Lonchura striata: one gene and its partners. The protein of the gene in region 3 purifies or fractionates together with the protein of the main gene of each other region. This does not show direct contact. Links are inferred from orthologs where the notes say so. Each region holds a gene or a part of one and is shown on either strand. Other genes may lie near its edges. The genes, in order: HNRNPA0, HNRNPA2B1, HNRNPU and DIMT1.

The links.
Region 1: the proteins of HNRNPU (region 3) and HNRNPA0 purify together in Homo sapiens (affinity purification with mass spectrometry; 3 studies listed by BioGRID and IntAct, with this or other methods). This does not show direct contact. The link is inferred for Lonchura striata from reciprocal best matches to the Homo sapiens genes HNRNPU and HNRNPA0.
Region 2: the proteins of HNRNPU (region 3) and HNRNPA2B1 purify together in Homo sapiens (affinity purification with mass spectrometry; 4 studies listed by BioGRID and IntAct, with this or other methods). This does not show direct contact. The link is inferred for Lonchura striata from reciprocal best matches to the Homo sapiens genes HNRNPU and HNRNPA2B1.
Region 4: the proteins of HNRNPU (region 3) and DIMT1 purify together in Homo sapiens (affinity purification with mass spectrometry; 3 studies listed by BioGRID and IntAct, with this or other methods). This does not show direct contact. The link is inferred for Lonchura striata from reciprocal best matches to the Homo sapiens genes HNRNPU and DIMT1.

What each region holds. Positions count from the first base shown.
Region 1 is NC_134617.1:7,823,333-7,831,338, forward strand, and holds the start of HNRNPA0 (heterogeneous nuclear ribonucleoprotein A0), read left to right. Parts: upstream 1-4,907; 5' UTR 4,908-5,232; coding exon 5,233-6,165; 3' UTR 6,166-8,006. UniProt on the Homo sapiens protein: mRNA-binding component of ribonucleosomes. Specifically binds AU-rich element (ARE)-containing mRNAs. Involved in post-transcriptional regulation of cytokines mRNAs.
Region 2 is NC_134603.1:123,909,190-123,916,607, reverse strand, and holds the start of HNRNPA2B1 (heterogeneous nuclear ribonucleoproteins A2/B1), read right to left. Parts: upstream 3,188-7,418; 5' UTR 2,999-3,187; coding exon 2,969-2,998; intron 1,884-2,968; exon of another isoform or gene 1,563-1,883; coding exon of another isoform or gene 1,551-1,562; intron 1-1,550. Other genes in the region: CBX3 (chromobox protein homolog 3), read left to right, coding at 6,850-6,891. UniProt on the Homo sapiens protein: Heterogeneous nuclear ribonucleoprotein (hnRNP) that associates with nascent pre-mRNAs, packaging them into hnRNP particles.
Region 3 is NC_134605.1:31,754,034-31,761,647, forward strand, and holds the start of HNRNPU (heterogeneous nuclear ribonucleoprotein U), read right to left. Parts: upstream 3,210-7,614; 5' UTR 2,972-3,209; coding exon 2,239-2,971; intron 1,424-2,238; coding exon 1,312-1,423; intron 1,192-1,311; coding exon 1,118-1,191; intron 1-1,117. UniProt on the Homo sapiens protein: DNA- and RNA-binding protein involved in several cellular processes such as nuclear chromatin organization, telomere-length regulation, transcription, mRNA alternative splicing and stability, Xist-mediated transcriptional silencing and mitotic cell progression.
Region 4 is NC_134642.1:29,175,792-29,184,040, forward strand, and holds the start of DIMT1 (dimethyladenosine transferase), read left to right. Parts: upstream 1-4,932; 5' UTR 4,933-5,028; coding exon 5,029-5,262; intron 5,263-5,554; coding exon 5,555-5,641; intron 5,642-6,015; coding exon 6,016-6,077; intron 6,078-6,188; coding exon 6,189-6,282; intron 6,283-6,383; coding exon 6,384-6,433; intron 6,434-7,239; coding exon 7,240-7,363; intron 7,364-7,474; coding exon 7,475-7,567; intron 7,568-8,249. UniProt on the Homo sapiens protein: Specifically dimethylates two adjacent adenosines in the loop of a conserved hairpin near the 3'-end of 18S rRNA in the 40S particle.

The DNA of each region.
Region 1 (8,006 bases), on a different chromosome or scaffold from region 3:
TTCAGCAAACTCCCCTTAGAAGGGGCCCAGGGAAGATTTTGTTTAACAGATAAACTTTGATACTACTTACTGAAGAAATAGTACCTGTGGGTTATTCTGTTACCTTTTTATCTATAGGTTATCTTCTTTTGCATTAAGCAAATACAAGAGAGGGGTCGTGTTTTATTCCCCATCTGAATTTACACAAGGTAGAGATTTTTATCCTGAGGAGTATTATGTTCAGACTTTAGGGAGGTAAAAGTCTATCTAGTTGCCTCTCACTATTTTTAAATCTTTTTCAACAAAAAACCCTCTCCTGATCAGTACTAGTTCATGAAAGTCTCCTAAGTAAGATCACAGGTTTGAGGTTTATGCAGATGAAAGTGCAAACAGCAGAACAGAGTGAAAGAGAAACTTTGGCCAAAAAAGCAGGAGATCTCTCAAGGACAGCTGTACCCTTTTCAGAAGTTTTTGCACCTGTAACTAAAGCAAGGTGCCAGGCTGGGAATGCTTGTGGTGCTGCTGTTTTTTTACACAACATGCTCCCTATGAACCACACAATTACACTCTGCCTGAGGTGTTGATTTGGGTAGGACTGAGCCTTCCAAAAGTCTAATAATATCTCATTGAAAGGATGTAAATAAAAATCTTTGCTTCTGTGTGTATCTCAGAGTGATGTGGGAAATTATAGTTGGATCCCTTGTATTCCCAACTGTTCCCATCTATTCACAGTTAGAAAAATCTGGGTGAAATGTGTGTGTAGCTAAGGTGATGTTATTACAATTTTCAATGTGAATGCAGAATTCAGCAGTCCGCATGAAATTTCAAAATGCTTTCTGTCTGCTGAAAGGTCAAACTAAATCTAAGTCTAGAGCATTGTACTATACAAAAAAATACTTAAACTCATTAAAAATTGTGATGTACATAAATTGCTTAAGAAAATAATCGATGCCTGCCAAGAGTGGAAGCCACAGATGTAACTAAAGATGTTGAAACTAGTTAAAAAGATATGACTTTGTGTTTATATGAGGGTTTAGATAAAACATTTATAACTTAATAACTACTTCTGAATTCATGATGTTTTTCCATTGCCCTTCATGCTCTTTTCCAAAACTTAATTATTAATTTTCAGTCTTGGCAGTTTGGACCCATTAAATAGCATGACAAAGTTATGTTTCTTGAATGACAAAATGGATATAAAAAATTCCTTAATAGTTTATTTTGCATCAGCTTTTACTAAGAATATATGGTAACACAGGAAGTCGTGTTGGAAAGGGACTGCTCAGACTTCTGGTTTTCAATCTCTTAAGCAGCAATGCCCTCCTGTGGACTCTGGCTAGAACGATTTCTTCTGAATAACCAGAAAGGTGTATGCATGAACATGATTTGGTTTTCCTTCTTCCTAACGCACTAATTAAAATGTCCCATTAAGATATTTGATTTAATTGGCATTATTTGGCTAATGTGTCTGATTTGAGAAACACATCTTCTTTTGGTAATGATACAGGTGGAGCTGAAAAAGCACCTAACTTTAGAAACTTTGGCTGCTGATTTTTTTTTTATTCTATAGGTTGCTAGTAGAGCTGAAAAAAATGTCATGCTGCAATTGCCTTGTTGGAAAGTGAAAAGTGTGTATTCCTATTGCATTATACTTTCCTAAGAATTTTTATATCCATAGGATGGTATTATGCATTTACTAGTTTACAGGAAGAAGCAGTTTAAAAATTCTGTGGGGAAGCTGCTGTGGCAGCTGGAGTGTTTCTGGTTTACATCTCACACACGGGAGACTCATCTTTGGTTCTGCACTCACACTGTGGCAGCACCTGTGTCTCGTTGGCTCATGTAGCTTGAAGGAAAAGCTCATTTCAGGAGCAGAGAAAGGCACCTTTCCTGGGAATGTGTGTGCCAAGTGATTTGCTGCACAGCTCGGGTGACTGGTGCCTCAGCAGGCGTGAATCCAACAGTGACTGGAGAGGTCCGGTTGGAGCCTCCGAGGATGACCTGGGAGGAAGGAAGGTCTCTGGGGGCTGCAGGAGAAGCTGATGTGCATCCCAGAGCCTGGGGCTGTGTCAGGGCACATGGACGTGTGCAGGAGAAGCTGATGTGCATCCCAGAGCCCGGGGCTGTGTCAGGGCACATGGACGTGTGCAGGAGAAGCTGATGTGCATCCCAGAGCCCGGGGATGTGCCAGGGCACAAGGATGTGTGCAGGAGAAGCTGATGTGCATCCCAGAGCCTGGGGCTGTGTCAGGGCACATGGATGTGTGCAGGAGAAGCTGATGTGCATCCCAGAGCCCGGGGCTGTGTCAGGGCACATGGACGTGTGCAGGCTCTCAGCCCTGCCAGGGCAGGGACTGAACTCAGAGCAGGCTTTGAGCGGAGGTGTGAATGAACAACACGAGCTCACTCCAGCAGCTGGGAAAGGTGGGGACACCGGGCCAAGTGCAGTTTGGCCTTTGTGCATTTTCAGAGGAGACATTTCCACCTGCATGACATGGGTATGTGTGTCTTAAAGGTGTTTTCCTTTCATTAATCAACCAGCTAGAAGTGTAAATGAAGAGGAAGAATTTGGGCTACACCTGAATTGAGTCAGTGGCTGATTTTTCCTACTGATTTATTCACACCTTAAGGACCCTCATCTCCTCGTGATGCAAGCTGCAGCTTTTTTCTTTGATCTGTTCCTTGGCTTACTTGTCTGGCTTTCAGGGAGAGAAAGTGTGGTGTAAACAAACTTTGATTTGTTATCTGTTGAGGTCATAATTAGCTCATCTTAATTTTTCATCCTTTTTGCTCTAAATTACTATAGGTCTACAAAACTCCCATGGATTATTTTCCACATGACACATACTAATTTATCTTGTGAAGGGCCATACAGATCTTACAATAACTAGTAGGCAAAATAGTTTTGTATTTCCTGTAATTTATGTGCAGCTTGCAGACAGCCTCTGGGAAGATTTTTATTTAATACAGTAGGATATGTTTGTTTATTTTAAAACCAGAGATATTTCAGTGGCATTATGGGATATTCTTTTTCTTAAACTATATAAAGTGATGGTGTCAGTTCATGCATTGAGATAAATGGATCTAAAGCCATGACAACTTTCCTTGTGATTGTCAAACATAGTTATTTAATAAGTTACTCTTACTATAGACTTGGCTATAGCATAAAAAAATCCAATCTGAGTAAAATCAGATTACTGTACTGCAAGTATCAATGCTACAGGTTAATGAGGATCATAGCCTGTGAGACAAAAGCATGTTCAGCCTCTCTGGAGTTCCTCTGGGGCTGTGGTTAACCAACCTTCCAGCACGGTCAGTGTTCTTCTTGTGTCTGTGTCTCCAAGGGAGCATTTCCAATTGATCATCATCAGGGGGATGCTGCAGTTCTGCTTCCTCCCTCCTGCCAGCACCAGCAGATCATGCAAAAAATGTTTCAGAAAGCTGAGGCAGCTGAAAACCAGTTCCTTTGTCATGATAAAACCATTTATGACTGTCTCAGTTCTCTTATGTGGATGCTGTGTGTTTGCAGAAGCATCAAGGTTGGCACATGGGAAAAGGCAGGATCAGTTCAGGGAACTGTGGAACTACATCCTGACAGTGCCTAATGCAGAACAACAGTCATTCTTAGCTCCCGCTTAATTTTAACATAAACCCTAGTGACTGTAAGACCAAAAAAAGAATCTTTCTAATGAAAAATTCACTTAAGTTGAAAGTAATGCTGCAGTCTTCATGACAGCAATGTTTAATGCACTATCAAAGTAAGAGGGGAAAAAAAAGGAAAATTGTCTCACTATTTGTCATTCCACAGGGCTTGCACACTCTTGAACAGCTCTAATAATTTCGCTGAGAAAATACCTCATTTTCAGAGCTAAGGAGAGATCTAAGGGTGCGTAGGCTGTGATAGGGTTGGAAAGAGAAAGCAGGGGAGGAAACAGTAGCAGGAATAGTGAGAAGGAATCACAAAAATGTGTAAGTTGGACAAGCCCTTCAAGATGATCGACTCGAACCCTTCCTGCGGCACTGCCAAAGCCACCGCTGAACCGTGACCCCAAGCGCGACATCCGCGCTGTCTTTTAAACCCTCCAGAGATGCGACTCCACCTGGCAGCTTGCTTTCGGTGAAGAATTCTTCCCTGATATCCAACTAAACCTTCTCTGTCACACCCGGAGGCCGCTCCTCGCATCCCGTGCGCTGGGAGCGGTTACCAAGGCGAAGGCGGCACGAAGGAGGGAAGCGCCATCGCTGCGGGGAGCGGAGGGCGGGCGAGGGCCGAGCCCAGGGCCGCAGCCGGGCCGTGCCCGCCGGGTGCCGCCGGCAGCGTCCGTACCCACGGGGCGCGGCCAAGGGGCGGGCCGGGCTCCGCTTCACGGGAGCGCGAGGCAACGGCACAAACAGAAGCACGGCGAGTTCCACGTGAACGCGAGGGAGAACTTTAGAGCGCAGAGTGCTGGCAGGCCGGGATGCGGGGTGTGGCTCGCCGGGGCTCTCCCGTCCCGGGGCCGGGGCCGCGCTCTGAGGGCGGCCCGAGCCCCGCGCGCCCAACGGTCCCCGCCGTTCAAACGCTCCCGCGCGCCCCGCCCCCCGAGGGGCGGGGCCAACGGAGAGGGAGCGCGCGCCGGGACGCGGGCGGCGTCCCATTGGCTGCCGGCCGCGGGCCCGGCGCATTGACGTACTGCCCCGCCCCTCCGCCCGGCGCGCGCCGAACGCGTCCCGCGTTCCTATTGGCTGCCCGCCGCGTCCGTCCCCGGCGAACCTCGGGACTTTTGCGGAGGTCGCGCCCTTTCATTGGTTGCCGCACACGTCCATCGCGGCCTAAGCCACGCCCCTTAGGCGTGAGTGGCGGGCGCCGCCGGCGCGTCGCTCTCATTGGCTGCGGCGGCGGCGGAGGCCGGCCCGGGGGGCGGGGCTCCCGGCGGCCCCTTTGTGTGGGCACCAGTCGCCGGCCGCGCTCCCGAGAAGCCGCTGCCGCCATTTTGTGCGCGCCTGTGTTCGCGCCCACCCCCGCCCGCCTTCCCGGGGCAGCGGCGGCACCGGGGACGCCCCGACTGTGCTGCCGGTCAGGTGAGGCGGAGCGGAGGCGCCGGGCCGCGCCGAGCGAGCTACCGCCGGCGGCCGCCGCAGCCGCGAAGAGGTCGCGTTGCTCGCAGGGGAAAGAAGCGGCAAGACGGAGCAGGGGGGGAAAAAACCTCCGGAGCTGCCCCCGAACAGGAGGAGGAGTTTCGGCGCCAGGCCCAGGCGCGGCACCGGAGGCAGCATGGAGAACTCGCAGCTGTGCAAGCTGTTCATCGGCGGGCTGAACGTGCAGACCACGGAGGCCGGGCTGCGGGAGCACTTCGCGGCCTACGGCACCCTCACCGACTGCGTGGTCGTGCTCAACCCGCAGACCAAGCGCTCCCGGTGCTTCGGCTTCGTCACCTACTCGGCGGTGGAGGAGGCGGACGCCGCCATGGCCGCGTCGCCCCACGCGGTGGACGGGAATGCGGTGGAGCTGAAGCGGGCCGTGTCCCGGGAGGACTCGGCCAAGCCCGGCGCTCACGCCAAGGTGAAGAAGCTCTTCGTGGGCGGCCTCAAAGGGGACGTGGGCGAAGGGGACCTGGTGCAGCACTTCAGCCAGTTCGGCCCCGTGGAGAAGGCCGAGATCATCGCCGACAAACAGAGCGGGAAAAAGCGCGGCTTCGGTTTCGTCTACTTCCAGAACCACGACGCGGCCGATAAGGCGGCCGTGGTCAAGTTCCACCCGATCCAGGGCCACCGAGTGGAGGTCAAGAAGGCCGTGCCCAAGGAGGACATCCAGGCGGGCGGGGGGGGCGGCGGCTCTTCCAGGCCCTCCCGGGGAGGCAGAGGAGGAAGGGGCCGGGGCGGCGGCGGCTCCGGCAACCGGGATCACAACGGGCTTTCCAAAGGAGGCGGCGGCTACAACAGCTACGGCGGCTACGGCGGGGGAGGAGGCGGCGGGTACGGCTCCTATGGCAGCGGTTCCTACGGAGGCGGCGGCGGAGGGGGAGGCGGAGACTACGGCAACGGGTACGGCGGGTTCGGCAGCTACAGCCAGCACCAGTCCTCCTACGGCCCCATGAAGAGCGGCGGAGGAGGTGGAGGAGGGGGCGGCAGCTGGGGGGGCCGCAGTAACAGTGGACCGTACAGAGGAGGCTATGGTGGGGGAGGCTACGGGGGCGGCTCTTTCTGAGCTGGAGCGCTCATACCCATTGATGGGGGGGCGTGGAGAGCCCTCCCTTCGATACGGGGCAGCTTCTAAATGGTTTCTCCCCTCATTCGCCGAAGGGCAGCTCCTTTTAAATGCCTCCCTTCCGTGGGAGCGGCTCCTAAATGCCCCCTGAGGGTCGCCTCTGCTGCCTGTGCCACTTCTTTCTCTCTGAAGATGGACTGGGCCCCACATACACATATTTTGTGTTACAGTCATTGATGGACTCTATTTTTTTATTATTACTTGGACCTTGGTCGTTTTTATACTAGCAACGAAAAATGTCTTGTTTTAATTTGTTTTTTGGGGGGTGCGGGGTGGGAAGTGTCTTGCTGATCTGGAGTAAAAACCGGGGAGGCTGGGGGGAAGTTCCTTTGTTGTAAGGACTCGATGCCTGGATACTACGTTTTTTTCTACAAAAGCTACTCGGATCCCATGACTGACTTTTAACATTTCTGTAAAGGAGGAAAAAATGGTTTTTACGTTTTTTATTTTTTAAATAAATCATTGTGTTCATTGACCTTTATACGTCTAATTCTTTTTCCTAGGATCAATTCCGCACGGTTTTAAGGCTTTTCTAGGTTTGAAGCAAGTGTTCCTCTGCTTTAAAATCTCAGTGTACTTAGAGTAGTAAATATTTTGTTGCCAGTAAAGGTCCTAACTGACTTTTTTGCTAGTGGCTTTCAAACACTCGACAGAGAAATTTTTGAAGTACTAATCCGTGGATGTGTTCTGTTTTTTAAATACTCGTTCTCACTTTGGCAGTTTGTGTGCATCCACCATCTTGTACTAGACAGTTTGACGTGCTGACATGGTTGGTCAGTTTTTTCTGTAGGACTTTTCCATCAACGTATGTATTGTGTAGTTTTGAAGAAATAGTTTGTGTTAAGCATGTGCTTCATTCATATAAAATGTTCAGAATTTCTTATTGCTTAGTTTTCAAGTCCTTGGTTTGTCTCTGTGTGATTCCTTCCAGGAAAGGGTCGACATTTATCCCTTCTATTAAAGGCATACTTGTTTTCCTAGCCCCGGGTTAACAGATTTCACTCGGAACTATTGTTCTTCCTGAAAGTTCCCTGAGAACTCTGGCAGCTCCATCTGCTGTCAGGATGGCAGCCCCGTGCTGTGGGCTTCCTTAAAGCAGGAGTAAAACTGGCTTGCTGACAATTGTACCAACCTTTGGAAAGTTATTTTTATGCCACTAGATGACTGGTGTAGAATACAGTGACATCTGCACGTGAATAAAGATGGGGTCCCTGACTACTGATTGGGTGGGGGTGGAAAAAGGAATGGATTTGCAATACCTGCCTCAGCACGTAATTTAACAAATAATAATTGCAGTTGACCATATTTCAGAAAGTGGTGATCTAAACTGGGCAAAGAGCTCTGAGAAGTGAGCCAGCAAGTGTACAAGTAACATAGGTGCCAGTTGTAAAGCAAAGATATCTGTGTAGTCTGCTTGATTTAAAAAATGTATATTTGTAGCCCTTTCACGCAATAGAATTAAAGTTTGTTGTTTATTAAAAAGCATAATGTTTTAGGGGAAAACTGCCTTCCTGCATAGAAATATAGATTAGCAACGTTTATGGGTTTATGGATATCAAATAAAAGATTTGAATTCCTTATATGCTTGAGTGAGAGTATATATGATGTGGGGCATGCATTTAAAAAGTACAAAGTTATTTTGACTTCAGGTTTCTAAGCTCTTGGAATGCTGATGTTTTGTGGGACTGCATCATAAAAGCTGCTTTTTGCTTTCCTCCAGATATGCAAGATATTAGGCATATAATTCCCACTGATTACACTGAAAAATTAAATGTGTAGGG
Region 2 (7,418 bases), on a different chromosome or scaffold from region 3:
ACAAACCTGCAAACAGAACTCAAGAAACAATTGTAAAATTATAAAATATACAATAACAATTATAAAAATATACTACATATAACTAACAGACATTAAACAGAATAGTAATGCATTTTACAGATGTATTTAGGGTCATGATCTACCCAGAACATCTAAGCACCACACGTCAGAAAACAGCAATAACGAAATTAATTACCAGTTCTTTAATGAAAACCACTGTGCGAAAACAGCACACACGCTGCTCCACTAACACGAAATCTCTAGATGCAGATAAACTATCTGTCTCAAATGAGCCAGTCTGAAGAAGCTCTGGTTGGCCTAACACTAACCTACCAAAGTCCAGAGAGTTCTGCACATCTAAAGTTTGTGCTGAAGGTATAAAATGTACAATAACTATCATCATGCCAGTGTCTCATAGAGTCCTAAGGAAAATACTCTTTTGCTACAGACAGACACCTCATACCTAGGAAAGGCCACAATATAAAAGCTGGAGGTTAACACCTCTTTCAAGATTTCCACAGTATGGCCCGTGGCAGGAACAAAGCACTAAGGGAAATTTCTACCTCTGTAGGATCTTCATGCGTGTGTATTTTAAGCTTTACTCCACAGTCTTAAAGCAACTTGAAAGCACTGAAAAACGCATAGCCTTTACTAAAAAATTAATCACCAGAGAAAGGAAAGGTGTTTCACATAGCTGTAACGTGCGCAGACACAATCCACGCTGACAGCGGAATTAAGAACTCGGGTAACAGCAATGTTTACCGGAGACGAGCGAGGGGGAATCCCTGAACTCCAGAGCTCCGCAACCCCTCAGCGGCAGCTCGCTCGCCGCCTGTGGCGGCCGGGACGCAGCGGCCGCGCCGGCTCCACCATGTGGCGGCAGCGGGAACACCGCGGCCCCGAGCCGGGCGGGGAAAATGGCGCCCGGGAGCAGCCGCCGCCTCCAGGGACAGCGCTGCGAATTGCTGCCAGCGTACACCTACACACACGGTACTAAGGCCTCTCCAGCGCTCCTTCTCGCCCCCGTGCATACCAGACGACTACAGCTGACGCCCGCCTTGCCCACTCTGCCGGAGGGATCCCCAGTGCCTCTCGCAGACGCGAGTCCCAGCCAGGCCGCCATTTTACCCCTCCCCCTCGCCACCGCCATTACCCGCAGCGCCGCTCGGCCGCTCCGCGCCTCGGGGGGCCAAGACGGCCCCCCCAGCCCGCGGGGCTCAGACTCCCCCCGCTCCTCCGACACCTCAGCAGCAGCGCAGCTAATAGCCATGGCCACGGGCTCAAGAACGCGCTGTCCGCCATGCGCGGTTACCGCAGCTTCCGCCGCCTCGCCCGGCTGTGCGCCAGCCCCAGTCGCCGCTTCCAAAACCTTCCTCTGCGCAAAGACATCCAGCATCCGCCCCGCGCTGCGACCGGCGGCAGCGCCTGGACTTGTGCGGACGACTCAAGCTTGCTTGTAATTCTGAGTCCCGAAAAAATTCACTCTGTCTACACAAGCAAACGCGTCTCCCTCCTTAAAAGCAAGGTCTAAATCCACCCATTCCACGTACCATGTTCTTCATGGTTTATGTATTCCCGCTCGAGAGTACCGTACAACTGGTCGGTAATGGCTGCCTGAGCTGTTACGTAATTTGAAATTCAGCTCCGCGTAGTGTTAGCGCCCTCGTACTCCAGCTCGGGCTCGCTTCCGAGGTTTAATTAATTAAAAAAAAAAAAAAAAAAGAAAAAAAAAAAGAAAAAAAAAACTACAGGATCTGGAGCTTAAATATCTCCAAAGGGGCTGCAATTCTGAATAATGCCCCTACGTGTTTTTATCGTGTAATGAAAGTCATCGACTCCGTTAGTAATGGCCGTCTCCGAAATGAGCCGAAGGAGCTGTCGTCGTCGAGCTTATCCGCTTCGACAGCCGCCGGAAAAAGCCGAACCAGGAATGGAAGCCCATTCGACTCGCTTCGGTAATTTCCGGAATCTGCCGCAGCACGCGAAAATGGCGCTCGGGGCCAGCTCGGCAATTTCCGGACAGAAAGACGCAGCAAGTCACCGACTACTTCAGCCAACTCGGCAGTTTCTGACCATCGACAGGCTCGCGAGACGTGCCCGAGCGCAGCCGTAGCGGCCTCGAACGCTACTGGCACTCAATTTTGTTTGGTTTTTTTTATGGAAATTGACAAAAGGCCCCGAAGGCACAAACCTCGGCGTTATTATTAGTCGGGGGCGGCAGCGCATCGCTCCCCGAAACCTCGCCCTGGCCCCCTTCCTCCTCCGCCCAGGCAGGAGGAAGTGAAAGTTACACAGATTTTGGCACAAGTGCGATATATCGCGGGGCCCCGGCGGAGGGAGGCGGACTTCGCCGCAGCTCGCTCCGCTCTAGCCCGCACCATCGGCATCGGGCGTGCTGCCCGCTCCGCCGCGCTGTCCTCTTCTTCTCCTTCATCCCCTCCTTTTTTCCCTCTCCGGCGGCCCTACGCGCACCGCGACAAAGGGTGAGTGCTGCCGCCCCGCGCGCCAAAGAAATGGCGCTGGAGCAGCTCCTTTCTTCCCGCCCCCTCTGCTCCCCCTCCCTTTCAGCTTCACCGCGGATCCACCCGCAGCTCTCCTGGCTGCAGTGAAGGCTCCCCAGCCGACTCCCCCGACCCCTTTTCCCACTTATGAATGAGTTCTCGGGCCCCAGAGCCCCGCAGCTTCCCGAGCCCCCTTCCCTCCCCCCGCCCTTGCTCACACCCAGGCCTCCCCGCCGCAACGCGGGAAATGGCCGCCCTCCAAAGGGGGCCCCTCCAAACGAGCTTCAAACCTACGCCAGCGCTCCTCGCCTGCCCTCCCCACGCCCGGGGCCCGCCCGGCCGCCCCGATCGAGGGCCTCGCTCCGCGGCGGCGGGCAGCATCGGCCCGAAGCGCATTCGCTGCGGCCGCCATGATGGCGGCCGTGGCTCTCGGGGTCCGCCAACCCCGCCCGCTCCCCCAGGCTTACCCAGTCGCTTTCCCTGTCGCCGCGAGGCATCTTCCTTCTTTTGGACGCCTGGCGCGGTCCTGCGCTCGCCCCGCGTTGGAGAGACGTCTTGGCCCCCCTCCTGTGCCGGCGGCGACGACGGTCGGAGGTTGTAGCGGCTCGCGCGTAGGCGGCGGCGGCGTCGTGCGCTCTGCCCCGTCACAGCCGCCGGCGCGCAGAGCTCGCCCGGCCCAGCCCAGCCCAGCCCGCCACCGCCGCGCCGCTCTCCGCCCTCCGCTCCCGCCCTCCCTCTCTCGCTCCCTCCCTGCCCCCACCCCCCGCCTCAGCCCCCCGCGGATGTCGCTGTTGCTGCTGCCGCCGCCGCTCAGTGCGCGCAGGGCGGGAGCCAGGAGGAGACAGGAGACCTAAGCGGCTGGGCACCATTGAAGTCTGTATCCTTCTCTCTCTCTCTCTCTCCCTCTTTTCTTTCGCTGCAGCCGCTTCCTTTCACCCCATTCACCCTCGAGTCCCTTTCCCTGACTCCCCTTTCCTCTGCGGCTCGCTGCGGGCCGCCGCGGGGAGATGCGGAGCGCAACCCGCCCGCCTCCCCCCACCGCCGCTTCTTCCCCACCCCCGCTTCCTTGGCGGTGGGGGGTGGCGGGCGGAGCGGAGCTGTCGGGGAATCGGGGCTTCGGCACCCGCTCGGGGAGGGAGGGAGGGAGGGAGGCAGGCCGGCGCCCGGGCACGCGGGCGCTGTCGCCCCAGGGGAAGGAGAGCAGTGCCGGGGGCGGGGGCAGCGGCACCCGCGCGGCAGACAAAGCCGGCCCGCCGGCGGTCCCTACGTGTGCTCGGCCCGGGGAAGACGTGAAGGGGCGGGGGGAAGATGGCGTGGAGGGGCCCTGTCAGCGGCGGCGGAAGCGGCCCAGGCCTGCGTCCCCGTTACCTCGCCCGGGGCAGCCCCGCCGGCCTCATGTGCGCCCGCCGCAGGCCCGAGGCGCAGCAGGCCTCCGCAGGGCTGCCTCTGGTTTGTGGCGGGGGGGATTGTTGCTATTGGGTTTTGGGTTTTTTTTTTTTTACCCCTTTCTGCTGCCTCTCCGGGGGACGCAAGGCAAGACCTTCGGCACTGGCGCCCTGGCCCCGGCCCTTTTCCCACCTCGCCTAACCCACCGCCCATGCGGCTGCCAAAATCCGCCTCCCGTGTCAGGGGAGGATTGGGCGGGATTGCTGAGTCCGGAAGGCTTTCTGGCCTTAAAGGACTTTTCTGCTTTACCCAGGCATATGGGGAATTCTAGCATTTCTATAGCTCGCTGCGGGGCGGTGACAATACATGCCTATGGAGCTGGTCGGTATGAGAAATGACATGGAAAAGGGGATGGATTGTGTTCAACCTAATTTGCATAGGTTAAATATGTAGTATGTACATCTTAGCTGAGTTAATATTGTTTTAGGACCTTAACTCTTGCCAACTTGAGAATCAGAAGGCAACATTATAGTTGCATTAAGAGAAATATTTGCTGTTTATAAGAATTTGCTACCATGTAAGAATAATGGGTGATTCATTGCACCACAAATATATATATCTTCCCCATCAGATATTTACAGTTAATATACCTTAGGTATGTCTTCAATTGCTAGAATTTGAGCTCTGTTTCTATTTGGTTTAAGGAAATGAGCATCCCTGATGGTCCTCCCCCTTTTCCCTAGAAACATGTCTATGCTTTTGAAGGCCTTGGGAAAAATTTTTTTCAACCCTATATACCACCTTGTCAGTATCATTTATCCTGGCTAGCCTAATGGTGCATTACTGGGTTATGCCGGACAAAGTAGTAACCTACTTTTTGTTCTGGATTTAATCCGTGTAAGAAATGTTGTATGCAGTGAATACATGGGGGTTGGAACAAGGACCATGCTTGTCTTGGGATGCCTTTCTTTGAGTAATGCAAACTTCCTTTTAATTGTCATGCATTTTTCTAGTAAAAGCTCTGCAAGTCTGCAATAAAAATGGCCTCCAATAAAACTACATTGGTAAGTTCATGCACACCTAAAGTATATAAGGATTTAATCAACATATTTTTCTTCAAACTTATAACTTGGCATCTCCATTTAAAAGATACATCCACATCTCCCCTCCCCAGCATTATTCTGACCAAATTTCAGATCCAGAAAGTAAGGCTACTAGAAAGGACATTGTCTTTGGTTTTAATAAATCTGCCATTTCTAAAGAGAAACGTGTTGAGAAAAAAGTATGAAAGGACTCTGCACTATTTCATCTATTCTACAATAGAAAATACTGAGGATTTTTTTTAGCCTCCTTTCAGCATACCATGTAATTCATCATACATGTAAAAAATAAAGTCTAAATCATGTATTCACTTAATTTCTCCCAGTGTATTTGGAGAAAAATATTTGCCTGACAAAAGGCAATCTTTACAGATGGAAAGTAACATTATTGAGAAATGATGTGGCATAATTAAGATGCCTTTTGAAATGCTTTTTAACAAATAACAGTTTCTTTGAATTTCATAGGAGCAGAGATTATCAGATGTCAACCCTTCCTGGACCATTTTAATGATGCATTCATGGATCTCAAGTCCTCTAAAGCTTTGCTTGACATTAAAATATGGACTTCCAATGGCAGTTGGTTGCTGGTTGCAGTTCAACTAATACTGATACATAGTTTCATGAAAGACAGACCTGTAGAAGTATATTGTGAGATGTATCTGAGATTGAGATGGGGAAGCAAGCCAAAATATATGTGCACAATTCAAAACTCCAGCAGCAGAACAGCTGGTTTATAATAGTCTCGAAAGGCCTGTTCTTAAATTTACAGAAATGTTTACTCAGTTCAAAATATATTCAAAACTTTTATTAACTCCTGGCTTAGAAGTGCAACGGAGTGCTTCCTCTGTGTTGTACTGGTTTAAAATATTTCACCGAGATGAATGTCTAAACTTTCTGTTAGTAATTGATTGTCCACTTATCCCTAATTTGAAGAAGAGAAGAAGTTAGCCAGCCTGGGAAAGGGTGCTTTGGAGAGAGGAAAAAAATCTTTTGAATGTGGTATTTTTAATCTTTTGATGTTATTGAGAATTTTGCTGTACAGGTCAGGAAAATCAGTTATGGTTCCCATGGGAACCATAACTAATTCTGCTTAGTTATATATTTGCATGCAAAACCTAAATATGTTAAGGGGTAGGGTAGCTCTAGAGCTGTAATTCCAATTTTCTTACATCTTGTATGTTAAAATTTTACACCACAGTGTCACATCAGTGTTTTAACCTTGCCCCTCAACGAAAGAGTGTTTATCCATAGATCTACATCTGTCATATGTGGTGTCATATGACTCCTGAATGCAGAAAGAGAAGCAAGCTATACATGAGCCTTCAATGGTCAAATGTCCAATTTACAGTTTACAATGTGCAGCCCTAGAGAGGAGAGCTTCAGGGGTCAAGTGGACATTTAGTATGCTTTAAGTTCAGTCAGGTGTCACAATTCACTTGTGGGCTGAGATTTGCATGGGCTTGTATAATCCCAGAATGTACAGGTTTTTAACATGTTCAGTATTTCTGCAGGCTCTGCAATCAAGTGTTATCCTAATAGGCTCAAGAGTTTGAAGAGCAGTGCTGATGCACAAGACCTAATAAATCTCTAACATTTAAAACAGAAGCAGCATACTTTTTATTTTGCTATTTCTTACTGCACTTCAAGAAAAAAATACAGACCCCCCCCCCCCATGATACTCATTTTCCTCTGTGGAAGATACTTAAGATACTTAAGTTTTAGAAAGTAAAAAAAAAATTGTTGCTTTGATACAGAAATCCAAAACATTGATCTTTAAGTGACAAGAATTAGTGAAGCCGAAAAGAGTACCAGAAAACAGTCTTCCATTGAATCAAAGAATTTTAGTCCAACGGAGAATACAGATGGAGATGTTCCCCACATGTAGCCTGCTTGCCTCATCACCAGTAATTATAATGTTATTACTATGGTATAGTGAGTCTGTCTTTTTCTGTGTTGTCGTTTTTCCCTCTGCTACTTTTATTGTTTGTTTATTTTCCTCATATCTACCCCTTTCTATTTCACACTTCCATTTTTTGAAAGAAGCTGCCCTCATAGAAGCCTTGGACATCTTCATGTTGTATTTCCCTTCAATATCAGTCTTGTATTCTTTTTCCTGTAGAGGCAAAAAAAGCCAATATGCTTAAGTTAACACTTTTCAGACATGAATGCTGTGGTCAAAATACACCTGGGATATGCAGGCACTTAAAATCTAATTGGAAATACATGCTCTGTTCTCTCTTCTATGCTGTCAAATCAAAAACATGATGGCCATGTGAGATATATACAGAAACTTGCTATTTAAATGAGAAACTAAAAACTTTTTCTCATATGTGTTGTTTGAACCTTCAATTTATGGGTTGCTAACCATAAAGAGTAAAGTATTTTGGGGAGGGAGGGAATAATTAATTATGAAAAATAAGGGGTACAGAGA
Region 3 (7,614 bases):
TATTTCTGAAGAGTCTGCCAACACTTTAAATCAGAATTTGCCCAGTAACAAGATTTTCCACTAGAAAATACCATTATTACTAGAAACAGTAATTATGAAAAGGAGCTATTTACTCAGCTATTGGAAAAATCCAAAGCTCCCACAGAAGTGGCTACTCACCAGGTTAGCAGCTAGAAACTTGAGACTTAGCAAAATGTCAGGGATGGCATATCCGGCAATTTACGTGACTGTAAAGTAATACCGCCTTCCATTTCAAACCATTTATTGTGGAATAAAACCACCTGAAACTTCTAAGAAGTATGCCAGACAATGCCAAAAGTTAAGCTTCCCTTCCATGGCACTGTAAGAATCCAACGAGTTCAAGCATTACTTCAAGATCAAGTTTTCTAATATTGCACTGAGTCCTTATACTTACCCTCAAGAATACAAATGTCAACTCTGCCATAATAATGTTACAGTAATAATGTTTATAATCTGCCTCAAAAACAACCCTGTTTGCAGATAGTTCTCCATTTATATGCTCTGTAGACTAAGTCTCTCTGCCATCCCACTTGCACAAACCACCACGCAAAGCCACACATTCACACGTTACATGAATGGCTCATTTCTGAGGAAGCATTACTAGATTTTGTTAAATTGATCAGAAGACAGAAGAAACACTCCACTAGTCAGTATCTAAATAAGGGAATGTATGCAGGAAGCTCACTTCCCAAACTGTGCTTTGTAAACACTTATGCTACTCTCTGAGCTTTCTGGGCAACAGTGCTGGACAGCTGTTTCATCAACCTGTCTCCAGAGTGTTCTATGTGCACTCTACACTTACTCACCTAAACTTCCATACCAGATTAGTGTTTTGGTTAAGATTTCTTCACAGAACTGTCTATCACTACAGAATTGAAAGAAAACCAAGTTTATTACTGCTAACATACTCAGGTCCTTCTGTTGTTTTCTTTGCTGAAAATGGGTGGAAACAGAGTATTTTTCTAATTTTTTTAAAAAAGTTACCTGGTAATGAAAATCAACAAATGTTATCCTCCCCGTCTCAGAAAGCGTGGCATTAAGAGTAAAAGCCTCAACACCACATCTTTCCAGGGTAAAGGAAAGCATGTTTACTCACAAGTATCAAGACAAACCACTGTGTCATCAAAATGTTCATCTTCTTCTTCAACAGGTGGTTGAGGAGACTTGGCCCTGAAAAAACAAAACCAAACAAAACAGAATAAGTTACACGTATTTTCACTAAGCTAAAATAACATTTCTGTACTCTATGCCTCCTCATCACAAAATGTGCCCAGTACCAATTCTGTTTACCTGCTGTACTTGTTTTCCTCAATGTATTCAAAGTATCCCCGGCCATGGTCTTCACGTGGTCTCTTCACTCCCCTCTTCTTCTCACCAGGCTTTTGCTCTGTTTTACCATCTCCTAGAACAGAAGCAATGATTTATTTTGATTAGTTTAATTTGGATTAGAATCTATATCATGGCTTCAACTTTGCAAGCTGCAGCAAGCTACAGCATAAGATAAGCAGTAACATCTTAAAAGGGCATTTTACTATGTTACTAAGGTAAAGCCCTGTATGTTGAATTTTCACGGGAAGACTCAAAACTTGTCGCCAATCAGAAATTATTTAGCATACGGAAGTCGCCAATACACCACACAGCAGCGAGTACGGCCCTCAATGTTATGAGCCCCATTGAAACAGCCCCGAAAAAAAAAAAAAAAAAAAGAAATCCCCACCAAAATGATTAAAAAAAACCAAAAAAATCTCCTGAGCCACCGCGCCTCCAGACCCGCAACACCATCACCACCCGCCCACCACGGAGGCAGCGGGTCACTGCCAGCCTCTCGCAAGGGCACCGTGCGATCCGCACGACTGCGCCTCCTCCCGGCGGGCCGCGGGCGGCAGCCCCAGGGAAGGGATTCCTCCTCCCGCCTCCATTGTACCGCCAGGCCTTCCCAGCGCCATCCCGAGCGGCGGCGGCGCCCAGCCCGGAAGTGACGTCAGGCGCCCCGCGCTGCGGGCGCACAATGCACAGCGCGCCCCAGCGGCCCCTCCGCCGCCCCTCCTCCCCGCCCCTCCCCCGCCGGGCCAGCACGAGGCGCGGGGCCGCCAACGTCCTCCCGCGCGCGCCCCGGAAACCGCCGCCCCCAACCCCCCCCGGCCCAACAACCCCCGTCATGGCGGGGGGATGGGATTAATGGCCCCCACCCCGCTTCCCGCCGCCTCGCTCACTCACCCCCGACGCCCTGCGCCCCGGGGCGGCCGCCTCCGCCGCCGCCTTCCGCTTTCTTCTGCTGCTGCTGCTGCTTGGCGGGGCCCGCCGGGCCAGAGGCAGCGGCGGGCCCCGAGGCGCCCCCAGCGCTCTTGCCGGGAGCCTCCTTGGCGGCAGCGGCGCCGCGCGGCGGGAGGAGCGGAGGGGGCTGCTGCGGCTGCTGGGGCTGCGGCGGCTGCTGGTCACCGTGGCCGTTGGCGTCCCCGGCCGCGGCCTCCTCCTCGTCGGCCAACTCGTCCTCCCCCTCTTGAAAACCCTGGTCGTCGCCGTTCTCATCATCCTCCTCCTCTTCCTCCTCCTCCTCGCCGCCCGCCTCCTCCTCCATGGGGCCGCCCCCGGCCCCTGCCCGCTCGCCGTTCTCCTCGCCCAACTCCATGGCGTCGCCATCGGCGGCCTCCAGCCCTTCCTCGTCGTCGTCCTCCATGGCGGAGGCCGCGGCCTGGCCGGGGCCCCCCCCCTGGCGGAGCTGCGCGGCGCCCCCGCCGCTCTCGGCCGCCTCCCCCTCCACGCTGCCGTTGCCGGGCTCGGCCGCGCCGCTGGCGGGGCCGCCCCCGCCGGCCTCCTCCTGATCTAGCGCGGCCTGGAGCCGCTCCATGAGCTCAGCCTTGAGGCCCTTGTCGGAGAGGCGCCGCTTTTTCAGCTCCTCTTTCAGCTCCGACACCTTCAGCTTCTTTACGTTCACGGGAGAGCAGCTCATGGCGGCGGCAGCAGTGGCGGCTCGGTCCCTGGGCGGCGCGCGGGCGGCGGCGAGCAGGGACAGACGGGCGGCTCTGGCTCTGCCTGCGGTGTGTCGGTGCCCCGGCGGGCGGTGGGTGCGGGCGGGAGGCGCGGGGGGTTCGTGCGGCTGCGGGAGCTGCGGAGCCGGACCCGCCTGGCGCCAAATCCTTTCACCGCGAGCTCGCGAGGGAGACGCGCCTCACGGGGCCGCGCACGCACCGGCGCCGCGCGCGCCGTCCCGCCCCCGCGCACGTAGGCCCTCCCGCGCTACCGTAACGACCGCATTACCGTAAATACCGCCCGAGCGCTGCATGCCCCGCCGCCCTTGTCCCGGCGGGTCCCTTGGCGGTGGCGGATCGGCTGTAACACCGCTCCGGCACGATGAACCCGCTCCGGGCTGAGAACCACCCCCGTGCCGGCTCCCGCCCGCGTGAGGCCACAGCCCGACCGAAATGCCCCCCACGAGGGGCCCGCGTTCCAGCCACAGCCTCGCAGAGCCTTGTCCCGATTCCGCTGGCTCCCCTGCGCCCTGGTCGGGCCTAGTCTCGCACGGTTTATTGCTTACAGGCTTTAAAAAGGGACACTGCTGCTCCAAATAGTTCCCCTGGCACAGGCCTGCTACAGCAGTTACATAAGGGCAGGAGCGGGGCTACCCCGTGCCCGCAGCACCGGGAGGCAGGCGCGGGGCTGAGCCGTGACCGGAGCCGGCGGTAACAAAGGCATGAACTAATCTGGAGCTCGGCACAGGGCTAATCTGCTCACCAAAACTGCGCAGCTTTCCCTCTTTTCTCCCCCCTGCCTCTCCCTCTGCACAGCGTTCATATGGGGCTCTCCACAGCCGCTCACGTTGTACAGTCGTTTAATTTTGGATTTTTCCAATTCGCTCAAAAGTAACATGAAAACAAAGAGTGGAGAGGATTTCATACAAACAGAATGGTAGCACGGATCTGCAAGTCGGCTTCCTTAGGGAACCCGGATAAAAAGCTAATTTTCAATTGCAGGAAAAGGAATACAAGTCAAATCACCAGAGGATCAGTATGAAGAGCAACAAAAGGGAGTGTGTTTACCACGAATTTGCCTTGTGTTGGTACAGATTGCGTGGCCTCCTGAACCAGAGCAAATTACGTTTACCTGCCCCAGAAGAAGGGAGGAGAGTCAAGGAAGTCATCCTGTTTTAAGTGTGCAAGGAAAGGGTGCTTTCACACACTGTCCACTCACACCGCTCTGTCCTCAGTCAGTCTATAGCTACGTGGAGACAACTCGGTCAGCAAGGTTAGCAGAACACAGCACTACACAATAGCTTGTTGGAAGAGATTCAGGAAGAGGTGCAATATGTACAGATGAGAAAAAAGTTAGTTACCAGAATCTTCCCCTTATTTTAAGGTCAAGTTAGTAGATTTTATTTCAGTCCAGTAAGCCAGAGTCACCTCAATAGCAGAAGAAAAGACTAAGAGTACATCAATGCAAAGGAGAGATCAGTCTGTGATTAAGCTGTACCACTCTAAATCATTGCCTTTGTCCATTTCTTCATAAAAGAACAATCTTAGCTAGTCTGCTGAAGGAGTCCTAATGTATACTGTTCTGCCAAAGTGACAACAAAATTAAACTACTTAATATTGCAAGGTTACTGTCTGAAACTTACAGATAATTCTGCATTAATTTGGATGTCATTTAAACAGAAAATACATCAATAACTCCTTATGAATTGTATTATCTGAACCCTAGACAGAGCCCTATGTTTAGACCCTGATCTTGCACAGGGCTTTTCACATGTTGAGTCATCTTCCTGGAAGAGTTTAATCAACCCGATGTCTGATAATGCCTCCCACCACTGCAAACTTTATGGATTGATAGATTCTTTTAGGCCAGCTATGTATCCCTAAGCCTTGCCTTAATGAGCACATTTGCACATATTGACAGTGCCTCTGTACTAGAAAATATCCTCAATCAGAATCACCTGAGAGCAGCAGTCATTACATGTAGTCCCACTCCTAAACAACGTCATGTCTCCCTGCTTCAGTAACATGCTCATACTGTTTTATACTCCTGTTACCATGGAGAAACAAAACAACTAACAGCTTTGAGGCACATGGAGAGATTCCTTACCCTAAAGCATCGAAGCCTGTATATAAAGGCACAAGTAGATAAAGTAAAAATAATTTCTCCTCCCCTCCTCCCTTTCAAATTTAGCACTATTAACTTGATGCATTTTTTACAAGTTACTACAGCTGTCTATTTATTAAACCACTTAGAAGGATAAGTTTATTATTTTTAAAGGAGATTAACTCATAACATCACATTAAGGGTAATGCTTACTATCTAACCACTCACTTAATTACACTACCAAACAGGTATAGCAAGACTTTTCAGACTACAGTTATGTTACCTGTTATTGCAGAAGTGAGGTATCCCAGTTGATTTTCAGATGTCAGGTGATTCAATTGTAAGTAATAAATAAATAGTTGTAAATAATCATTAAGCTAAGTAAATAAAACACACACATAACTGAAACAGATGTGTAACTTTAATGACTGCCTCTCAGTGTTAAAAAAAAAAAGTTTTTTCCATATGTAAGTTAAATAACATATTCGGTCCCTGGGAAAAATCTCTCAAAATACTCCCCTGTCCTCTTTGAGTCCTGTGTTTCAAGAGTTTGCCTTTCCCTTATTTATACTTTGAAGGAGAAAAATAAGTTCAGGATGTATGCTCTCCTCATTGCCATACCCTCTCTTAGGTCAGATACTGAGTGGATACTTCAACTCTGCCTTTCACAGAATATGCAGATAGATAGATGCCAGCCATATCAAAAATGAGTGTTTGGTAATGCAACCTCCTGAAACAGGATAGCACTAAAGAAAAGCACTTTAAGCTTTAATGTGCAAAGCTGCTACTTGTATAGTGATGGCCATATGAAAAACAAAAATTGCTAGTAACCACAATATTTCTCTATTAAAATGGCTTTTTTTGGTCTCAAAATATATTGAAAAATAAGCTTTCTTTCCATTTAAATGAAAAGTGACATGCCTCCATGTATAAAAGATACAACCCTATGCACTTTTTATCAATCATATAGTATTTTTCTCCTACCTGTGTTACTTCCTAAGCTAAACTGTTTTCCTCTCCAAACCAGTCTTCCCTCTCAAAAGTAATTTCCAGATCCTCTGGGACTTGGCTCTTCAACAGATCAGTTACTCTGGTTTCCCTGATTTTTGTTTGTTTTCCTTTAGACTTCAATTAGTTGCTCTACTCACCTATAATGTCCTTTCCATTATTCACCCTTAGTCCTTCCAAATCTCTCTCCTCTTTTTGTTTACCAAGAGCAGTGACAAAGAGGTAACATAAAGAAGAGCAAGCTTTAAGGAGGGCATTGAACTACCAGAAGAGTTCAATCCCACCTGGGCTTTGAACCTTTCCACACATCTTCAGTGCTGCAGGAGAGCCCGGGCATTTGTGTTTCCCTGTTCTACTCTCTTAGAGCCTTGTCTGTCCTGTTCTGGCTCCTCTTGTTGTGCTTTACCCTACATCTGACCATCACAGTATGTTGCTCGTCTCTTCTGCATGTCCTTAATCCATCTACCCTCAATTAATATTGCCTTCAGATTTCCACATTCAACACACCATTACTTTAAAAGAGAATATCATTATTGAAATACTCTGATGCCTTTTATGATAGCAGGCAGTATGTGGAGCGAGTCTTTTTCTTTCTCCCTTTTCATACTCATTAATCATTACTAGACCCAATGAGAAATTTTCAGGCATTTTTAAAATGCTGATTTGTATCAAGTGAGGTTGCATGACTAATGGGCAGGTCTGATGATTTCTTAGCCCCTATTTATTTATTTCCATAGGAGGGTCTAAGGATCTGTCTGCCAGGAGGCCAGGAGTTTGTTTTTGAGAAATAGCACTGTGCTCCTCTTTCTTTTTTCCTGACGTGTACTACTGCTCACCATCAGAGTCAGGATGCTGAACTAGATTGACCTTGCCTTGTACTATCTATAATCTCTCCATGATATTTCAATATCAAAGGAGTTCAGTTCATCTCAGAAATCAGGTGGTCATATGCCAAAATAAGGCCTATTAATTGCACAGTAACCAGATTAGTTAGGTCTGAAAGCATCCTCAGGACCTAAGGGGTGGTTAGTGTCTAATTACAAGTAGATCTGCCAGGGTTCGAGGGACTTAAATTCAGCTTTCTGGCACTGGTTTGGTTAGCTAGTTCTCCTCAGAAGCATCTTTGTCTTACGACACTCTCTGCCGTAGCACTCTTTGGGCCCCCAGGTGAGCTGTCACTTGTCAGTAAACAAGTCCTTTTTAAGAGACTAATGCTATTTAGATTTTCCTGTATGCTGGATGATGTAGTTGAGAAATCTCACCAAGCAGAAGGAAGCACTACAAAGCTACACTGAGACAGAACATATCAGCCACAACCTGTGTTTGTCAACCTCACTGACCCCATACCAAAAAGAATCCCCCTTTTCCCATTTCCAAGGAGTAAATTTTTTGCTTAACAAAAAATCCAAAACCCAAGCCCATGAGTTTCTGAGAAACAGTTTCTCACTTCAGAGCATTCAATGACTCACAGTTTTTAAACCTGGCCTTGGGAAAAAAGGTTGCATTCTCCAA
Region 4 (8,249 bases), on a different chromosome or scaffold from region 3:
GATAACCTCACACTGCCCTCATTCTTTTTCAACTGATGAACCAGGGCTCTTCAGACCCTAATTTATACAGAGGATATACGGATATACTTAACCCCACAGAACTGCAAAGGCTGTGAATATTGGCTCTAATAGTATGAGACAGAGACAATCCTCACCTCTGACATATCTGACTTCACCTGTTGCACGGGAAAGGCAAAAGGGACATAGGTTACCCCACAGATTGGTTAAATCACAGGGACAAGGACTTTCTCCATAGTTTATGGGACTTCTACAGCTTTACTCACTATTGAGCTATACCTACAAGACTGTCCTAGAGATGAAACTCAGAAGGTATTAAATAGCTATTGTCTTTTGGGTACTTTCAGAGACATGAGCACCTATGGAAATTTTGGCAGAGTCTATCAAACTTATAAGCAACACATTCTTAGAAGGAAGTCAAGGTCTGCCTTTCTGTCACAGCAGCCAGAATTTCCAGGTTTGATTACTTGAGTAAAAGCGTTATTTCTATTTTTACTTACTAGCATCAGTCTGTGTCTTCACAATAAACACTGAGCAGTATCAGGTATGTTTGTTGTCTTCTGCTTTTCTGTGGTCTACACCCATTGCTATAACAACCAGATTGCACACAAACATTTTGGAAGAAGGAAAAGAAATTCCTTTCACTAGAAAGTGTTAAATGTGGTCAGCTGCAAACCCAAGCATGACTCTTACTGCCATGCCTGAATTTTGTCTTGCAAAAGGGAAAAGAGACTATCCATATCCCACATGAAAAAGATGCTCTCCAAGATCCCACTGGATATAACACTATTGAACTTGACAATAGCCTATCCTCAAGTCTCAGCTGGCAGGAAAAAAACCAAGCAGTTACACCTAGAATAAAAAACAAAACATCAAATCCTACCCCTTAGCATAATGAGTGTCTTCAGAGATCACAAATACCAGTAACAGTTCCTCATCATTATAATCTAATGTCCTATACTTCCATTCTCACTTTTAGACACCTTAATCTCCTTTAAGAGGCAAAGTCTTACTCCTCTTCTATTCTTTACTCTTTAATTCCCTTTCTGAGGAGGTATCTGCAAACACATTTTACCTTTCAAGACTATTCCAAGTGTTCGAATTTTATACTAGCCATGCCAGTTTAATGTTTTTCCTTAACAGGCTTCTCATACGACAAAAAGGTATCTAGGTACTTTTCCCCTCACATTAAAATACATCCTAATTTTAAAATCACATCAGCTATAAAAAGAAATTGGTAACTGCTAAACATCTGAAGAGGTACAAAACAAAGGATTTCATCACTAAACACCTCCCTACTTCACTTTTTCTGAGGAATGCAGTGTAACAGCTCACTAACATCCAGACAATTAATTCTGTGTATTTTTGTTCTCTTTCGTAAAGAATTCAATTTTTTCCTAGTATAAGAACGTGCAAGAACAGATTCAGTCAAGATTTCACAAAATCAGAAGAAGAAAAAGCCATAAACACATTGCACAAAATACAGTGTGCTCTCACGGATCATAGTGCAAATACATTCTGGGCTACTTCAAGAGCACAAGTGGCTCTGTGGATGTTGTTATCCTTCTTTACCCAGTGTCTGAGACGGCTTCTAGGACCCTGCTTCCAGCTTGGTTCTCTCCTCAGCTCAACAGGCAACAAACCGGAGAGAGGCCAGAGCTACTAGGATAGTCTGTGGTCTAAAGCAAATTATCTATGAGGAGGTAATGCTTAATGTTGTTTATGACCGTGGAACCTGAGGAAGACTTTGCAGACACCTAAACTAATTCCCTGCAGAGTGCTTACAAAGAGGACTTGCTGCTTCTTATCAGCAGATTATACAACTAATGAAAAACTATAAAGCTACATCCTGCAGTTCAGAAGGTTCAAGTAGGAAACTGTGACTTTTACAGCACATTTGTTTCAAGGAAAAGACGAAAAACAACGTTTCCATGCTGAAAGGCCACAAGAACTCCTGAAATAACTAACGAATTCTGGCATTCAGTCACACAGATATGATACATTAGCAAAGACACTGTCACCTTCAGGAAAAGTTGGTTTTACACTGGTTTCTCTCCAGCCTTCTACAAACTCCTCCATTAATCTCTTTTCTAGCATTGCAGGATCTGCATCAATTATGCCACATGCTCATAATCCTACTAAGGACTGGACCCAACAGAACTAAAACTATCCTGGTTATTGAAGGTACTACTTAAACTCATTAGTAACTACAGCAATCACCAAATCCAACACAATGACTAATGTTAAACATTCCTAATTTTTTTCAAAACCTACATATTAATTTTTTATTTATGTAATTAAAGCAAGCTATCTAAAGTTTGCCCAATTTAAGCCACAGTAAAGAAGGCAAAAATGTCTGAGCAGGAAAGAGTCAGAGATGTTTTCTTCCCATGCTGCTAACAACAGAAATACAGGAGTGGAATTTACAAGATTTCATTTTTACAAAAATTTAATACTGAAACTAAAAGCTAGGTCTGAAAAAAGCATGAAAAAGACACGAAGGATAAATAAATTAAAAACAGTGAGGACCATAGTAACAAAGGATAGCAACAAGTAAGGCTGACAACAATGTTACAGAAGGTCAATCAAAATTTATCAAAAATTCTGAGAAGAATGAACTCTGATATTAGACAGTAACCACCAAAGTGACCAAAAATTCCTAACAGAAAAAACAGGGAGTAAAGAAATGACTGAGACAATTCTGAGGATTAACTCAAAAATGACTGTCACAGGTTTCAGTACTGATGACATAGGAAAAGACAAATTGATACAGAGACAATGTAAGAATATTTTTGAAGTTTAATCGTAAGTTTCTAGGATGAGCAATAGTACAAGGTCAATCATATTCCTTTGACTTCTTCCTAATTTACCTAATTTAATGGATTTTCAAAAAGACCTGACAGACCACTTAAGAACAAACTAGTGCCAAACAGCTGAGATGGAAATGCCTGTTTCAGTCAGCCCTCATGTTCTGGAACAGGTTTCATTTTAACTACAGTTAACTCCCACTTCTGATGATAACATTTCAAAATGTTATACAGAAAGCATGGGTGACAAAAACCTTCCTTTTATCATTTATGGACATGACAGTAAATGTCCTTGATGAGAACAGTACGCTGAAAGAATGAGAGAAGAAAAACAGAGAGCAGTGACAAATTTGGTGCTGCCATGAAGTTTGATGAAACCAAACTCCATAAGGAACATGTGTTTTACAAAAATTCAGGTATAACTTGTATACTATGAATATAATTTGAATTTGGCAGTGTTTTACTGATGTGCTCTTTGGGCTAATTTAAAAGCCATGTCAGATATGTCACAGACATGACTTCATGTATGAGACATGGGAAGCAAAGCACATGGGAGCATAAGTGGGAAGCAGCCATCACCATTGCACTTAGGGTCTTGTTCTTGTATTTTACACACACTGCTGTCTTCTATGGTAACAAATTGGAGAAGTAACTCACCACTGCTGCACTGAGCCTGCCTCTGATTAAGGGAAGATTCTGCTCTGCAGAAAAACTGCTGTTCTTCAGCCTGCAGGAAGAAAACAACCACCTGGAATGAAGGCCACTACGCACCCCTTCCCGCAAAAAACAAGTTCTCTCAGGTTAATGCCTCATTATCCTCCCATGCTTTCCATGAATTCCAGCCTGACTAAAAACTGTTTCAAGAAGAAAGCGGGAAACCGTTCCCTGGAATTAGGTAACAGCTATTTACTTCCAGCTCCGAGCAGGCCCTTTGCCGTGGCCAGTACCATAGGTAAAAGAGGCCTAGCTGCCTTAATGCCGGTACCGTGGCGGTCAATCCACGCCGGAGTCCCGCCGGCTCGGGCACTGCAGACGGGGGCACAGCCGGCGGAGCAGCAGCCGGAGCGAGTGCGTAGGAGCAGCGCCGCCCGCAGCGACACAGCCGCGGGGCTCCGCGCCCCGAGCGCGGTCCCGCTGGAAGCCGCCGGCGCCTTCCCCCCTCACCGCGTCCCGCCCGGCCTCCCACGAACCGGGACCAGCGCGCGCCGCCGCGGCACCACCGCCTCCCGGCGCGCGGCACTGACGTCACTGCCCCGCGCCGCCCGCGCCGCCGCCAGCTGCGGGGCGGGGCAGGGCCTCGCCTGCGTGGTGCTCGCGCCAGAACGTAACGCTGAGGATGTGTATGAGAACGTAAATTAAAAAAATTCAGACAGGATTAAAAAAAGGAATACACTTTATTGGCGTGGCAGCTGCTGGGAATGACTGCACCGGCACTGCTCCGGCCGTGAGCGGATGGGCGCTTTGCGCAGAGACGGGGTTAAAGCGCCGCGTTATCTTATCGGCAGAAACTGATGAGGGTCGCCCTGAAAAATCCAGCCTTCCCTTCCCTTCCCTTCCCTTCCCTTCCCTTCCCTTCCCTTCCCTTCCCTTCCCTTCCCTTCCCTTCCCTTCCCTTCCCTTCCCTTCCCTTCCCCCCTTTTTTTTCTTCCTCTCTTTTCTCTCTCTGCCCCTCTTTCATTCATCTCTCATTTTCTCTTTCCCTTTCCACCCTACCGTTTTAATCGAAAACCCACTGCCCTGTGCTTACGGACTAGGTCGGGGTACTGGACACACCCACTTTTAGGCCGCGTGTCATTTACCAATAAACCCTGGGAAGCTTTTGTGGACCCGCTGACACTGTCCCTTGGGACTCGGGGCTGCTCCGTCCCCCGAGGGTGGGAGGCCCGAGGCCGCGCTCGTGCGGTCCGCCGGCGCGCCAGGGGGCGCTGCCCGCCGCCGGCCGCGCGCGGGGCCGCCGCCAGCTCCGGTGCCGCGCGGCACGTGCGGCCGAGCGGGGCCGAGCCGGGCCGAGCCGAGCTGAGCTGAGACGGGCCGGGCCGGGCTGAGACGGGCCGGGCCGAGCCGAGCCGAGCTGAGACGGGCCGGGCCGGGCCGAGCCGAGCTGAGACGGGCCGAGCCGGGCTGAGCCGAGCCGAGCTGAGACGGGCCGGGCCGAGCCGAGCCGAGCTGAGACGGGCCGGGCCGGGCCGAGCTGACTGCTGCCATGCCCAAGGCGCGGGCCGGGAAGCGGCCCCAGCGCCGGGAAGGCGGCGCCGGCGGTGAGTGCGGAGCGGAGCGGGCCGGCAGGATCCCGGGAGCCCGCGCCGAGCGGGGGCCTGTGGGGAGCGCGGCTGCTCACGGTAACACGCCCGTCTCTTCCCCAGGCATCCTGTTCAACACCGGGGCCGGGCAGCACATCCTGAAGAACCCTCTCGTGGTGAACAGCATCATCGATAAGGTGGGAGCCGGGCCGTGCCGCCTGCTGCGGGCGGGGTGCCTGCGTGTTGGCGCTGCTCCGGACGTGGCTGCTCGCCGGCTGTTCACGCGTGGCCAGCGAGGCGCCATAAATCGGTGCCACGGCATTCTGGTTCTCCCCGTTTCCCACTCGTTACTTTCTAAACGACTCTCACGCTCCCTTGATACCCAGTTCCAACTTATTACTGTGTCAAAAGCGCTTACTTTAATTTTAAAGTCAAATGATTGCACGAAATTGGTTCTACGGAAGCACTCAAAATGCTGTTTGTCCTTAGGCTGCCCTGCGCCGAACAGATGTCATTCTGGAAGTGGGCCCGGGAACTGGAAACCTGACAGTAAAGATGCTGGAGAAGGTCAAAAAAGTAAGTACAAATTCTCTTTCATACACCCCTTTCCCAAGCTCTGACTGTGCTTTGGCTTAGAGTATGGCAAATAGAAGGGTCTTCATAGGCATGATGAACATACGTAGAATTACTCCACTGATACTTTTCTTAACATATGAATAGTCCCGATGGGTTTTTAGCTGATCACATAAATTTTGTGTGGTTTTGTCAAACTACAGTGCTATAATCCATTTATGTGGTAAAGCTTCCTTGTATTTGAGAGGGAGGAAGGTACATAGCCTAACATTGGAAGGATTCTTTGAACCCATAACAACAGATACAGGGCTGGGATTTTTACAATTAAATTCCAGTTAGGAGATGCATGGAGTTTTAAATATATAATTTTTTTTTAGGTTATTGCTTGTGAAATTGACCCTAGACTTGTTGGTGAGCTTCAGAAGAGAGTCCAGGGCACGTAAGTATCAATTATGGGAAACAGGAAGCACTAAAGCAGTGGTGCTGCTTTGGTACAAATTTTGGCAACAGTGCTTATCTGAGTATAACCACAATGTATCTTTTCCCCCAGGTGTCTAGCAAACAAACTTGAAATCAAGGTTGGTGACATCTTGAAAACAGATTTACCATTCTTTGATGCATGTGTCGCTAACTTGCCTTACCAGGTATGGGACAAGCAACATAGCAGGCAACACCATAAACAAAATTACTTTTAAATGCTCATTTCCCAGAAATTATACTAACATTATTAATTTTTTTTTCTCAGATTTCTTCACCTTTTGTTTTCAAGTTATTGCTTCATAGACCCTTTTTCAGGTATGTGGAAGAATAGAGCTCTGTGTTACCTGAGAGGAAAGAAAATAGTTTTAAAAATGTTTTCAAATCCAGTATTTTTTTAGTTCCTGAGGTACAAGTGTGATGGACCAGAGCTGTACCAATTTTTTTCTGTAATACATAGTCTAACAGTGCCTGGAAATTAAGTTTATGTTGATATATTGAGCATGAGGAGAAAATTTAAAGTTGGCAACAGTGAGTGCCCAGCAGATAAAAACAGGAGTTACATCTCCTTAGTATTACAACTAAGTATTATTCCAAGGATAAGCAGGGCATAATAGCATTTCAAATACCTTCCTGGCTAAGGGTGAAAGGGTAGAATCAATGCCAAATCACTTTCTTGTTGTCTGATGTAAAAATGTAACCATCTTGTCTGTGTGTCAGACATCAGTATGTCAGCAGCTCTTGATTTCTCTCAGAGGAACATTGGTAACATTACCGGTCAGTTTTTGGAAAGCTTGGGTTTGAAGGACTCAGCAGAGAGTTACTCAAAATTATTTATTACAGTCAGGCAACTCTGAGACTAGATAGTCTCTTTGATCCTGATCCATCTAGCAGTAAATAATCAAATTATGTAACAGCTTTAAGGAGACTTGGATGGCTTCACCAAGTTTTGTGATGGGTTTTGGGTTTTTTTTCAACATGCTAATCAAGGCAAAGTTGTTTATTACGAACATTTACTCTTCTAATTGCTGAGGCAAACTGTATGTTTTCCAAGTGTGTTCATTTGGCTTCTGACATAAAAATGGAACACTTAGAATTGATTTTCTCATTTCTGTTACTCTCAGGTGTGCAATCCTTATGTTTCAAAGGGAATTTGCACTTCGTTTGGTTGCAAAACCAGGAAGCAAACTGTACTGCAGACTCTCTATTAATACTCAGTTATTAGCTCGAGTGGACCATCTGATGAAGGTAGGTCACTGCCTTTAGGTAACTCAGCTATGAAACACAGAAGAGTGTTGCAAGGGATGTGAGGAGTTTGCTGCTTATTCACACAGCTGCTTGACTGCTCTTAACTAACAGGTTGGAAAGAACAACTTCAAGCCTCCTCCCAAAGTCGAATCCAGTGTTGTCAGAATAGAGCCAAAGAACCCACCACCACCTATCAACTTCCAGGTGAGCAGTGTATACTCAACGTAACGTTAGTGATAATTTCATATTTCTTCCCAGTTACTATTCAGTTCTATGTGCTGATTCTAGTACAAACTACCAGCTATTTATTCATTGGAGCTTCCAAAATGGCTTTTCCTCTCTTGATCAGGCTTGTTAGACCATTAACACAACATGCCACCACCAGCTGGGGGCAGCTTTGTCAAGTACAGTATCTCTTATAAGACTAAGATCAGCTGGAGAACTGCTAGTAGTAATGTCCCTTTGGTCATGGTTTATGGCTCCCAGAGATGTTTCTGGCTGATAATTTTGCAGGTTTTGATCAGAGAAATATATGAGATTTATCTTCAGGTGAGTGTGTTTAATCACCGAAGACAAATGTTACAGAAGAGTATTCTTAATTCTTAAAACACTTCAAGACCATTTCAGCCTTGCCCAAGGTTAGCCAGATTTTCTTCGTGTCTGCCTTCTCTGCATGTAATAGCACTTTAGGCATGAAAAAGAACAATTCAAAGGATTTTGGGGGTGAAGTATTTTCTCCTCCTTTTGTATTTCTTTGTCTAAGAGAACTGGTTTTGTGTTGTTTAGAAGGACATTTCCATGAAGGATATTCCTTTTGTTCAGTATTGTTATGAAGATGTCAGTAGTGACTGTTCTTGTTTGTAGTAGCTGTATGTTGCTTTCTAAA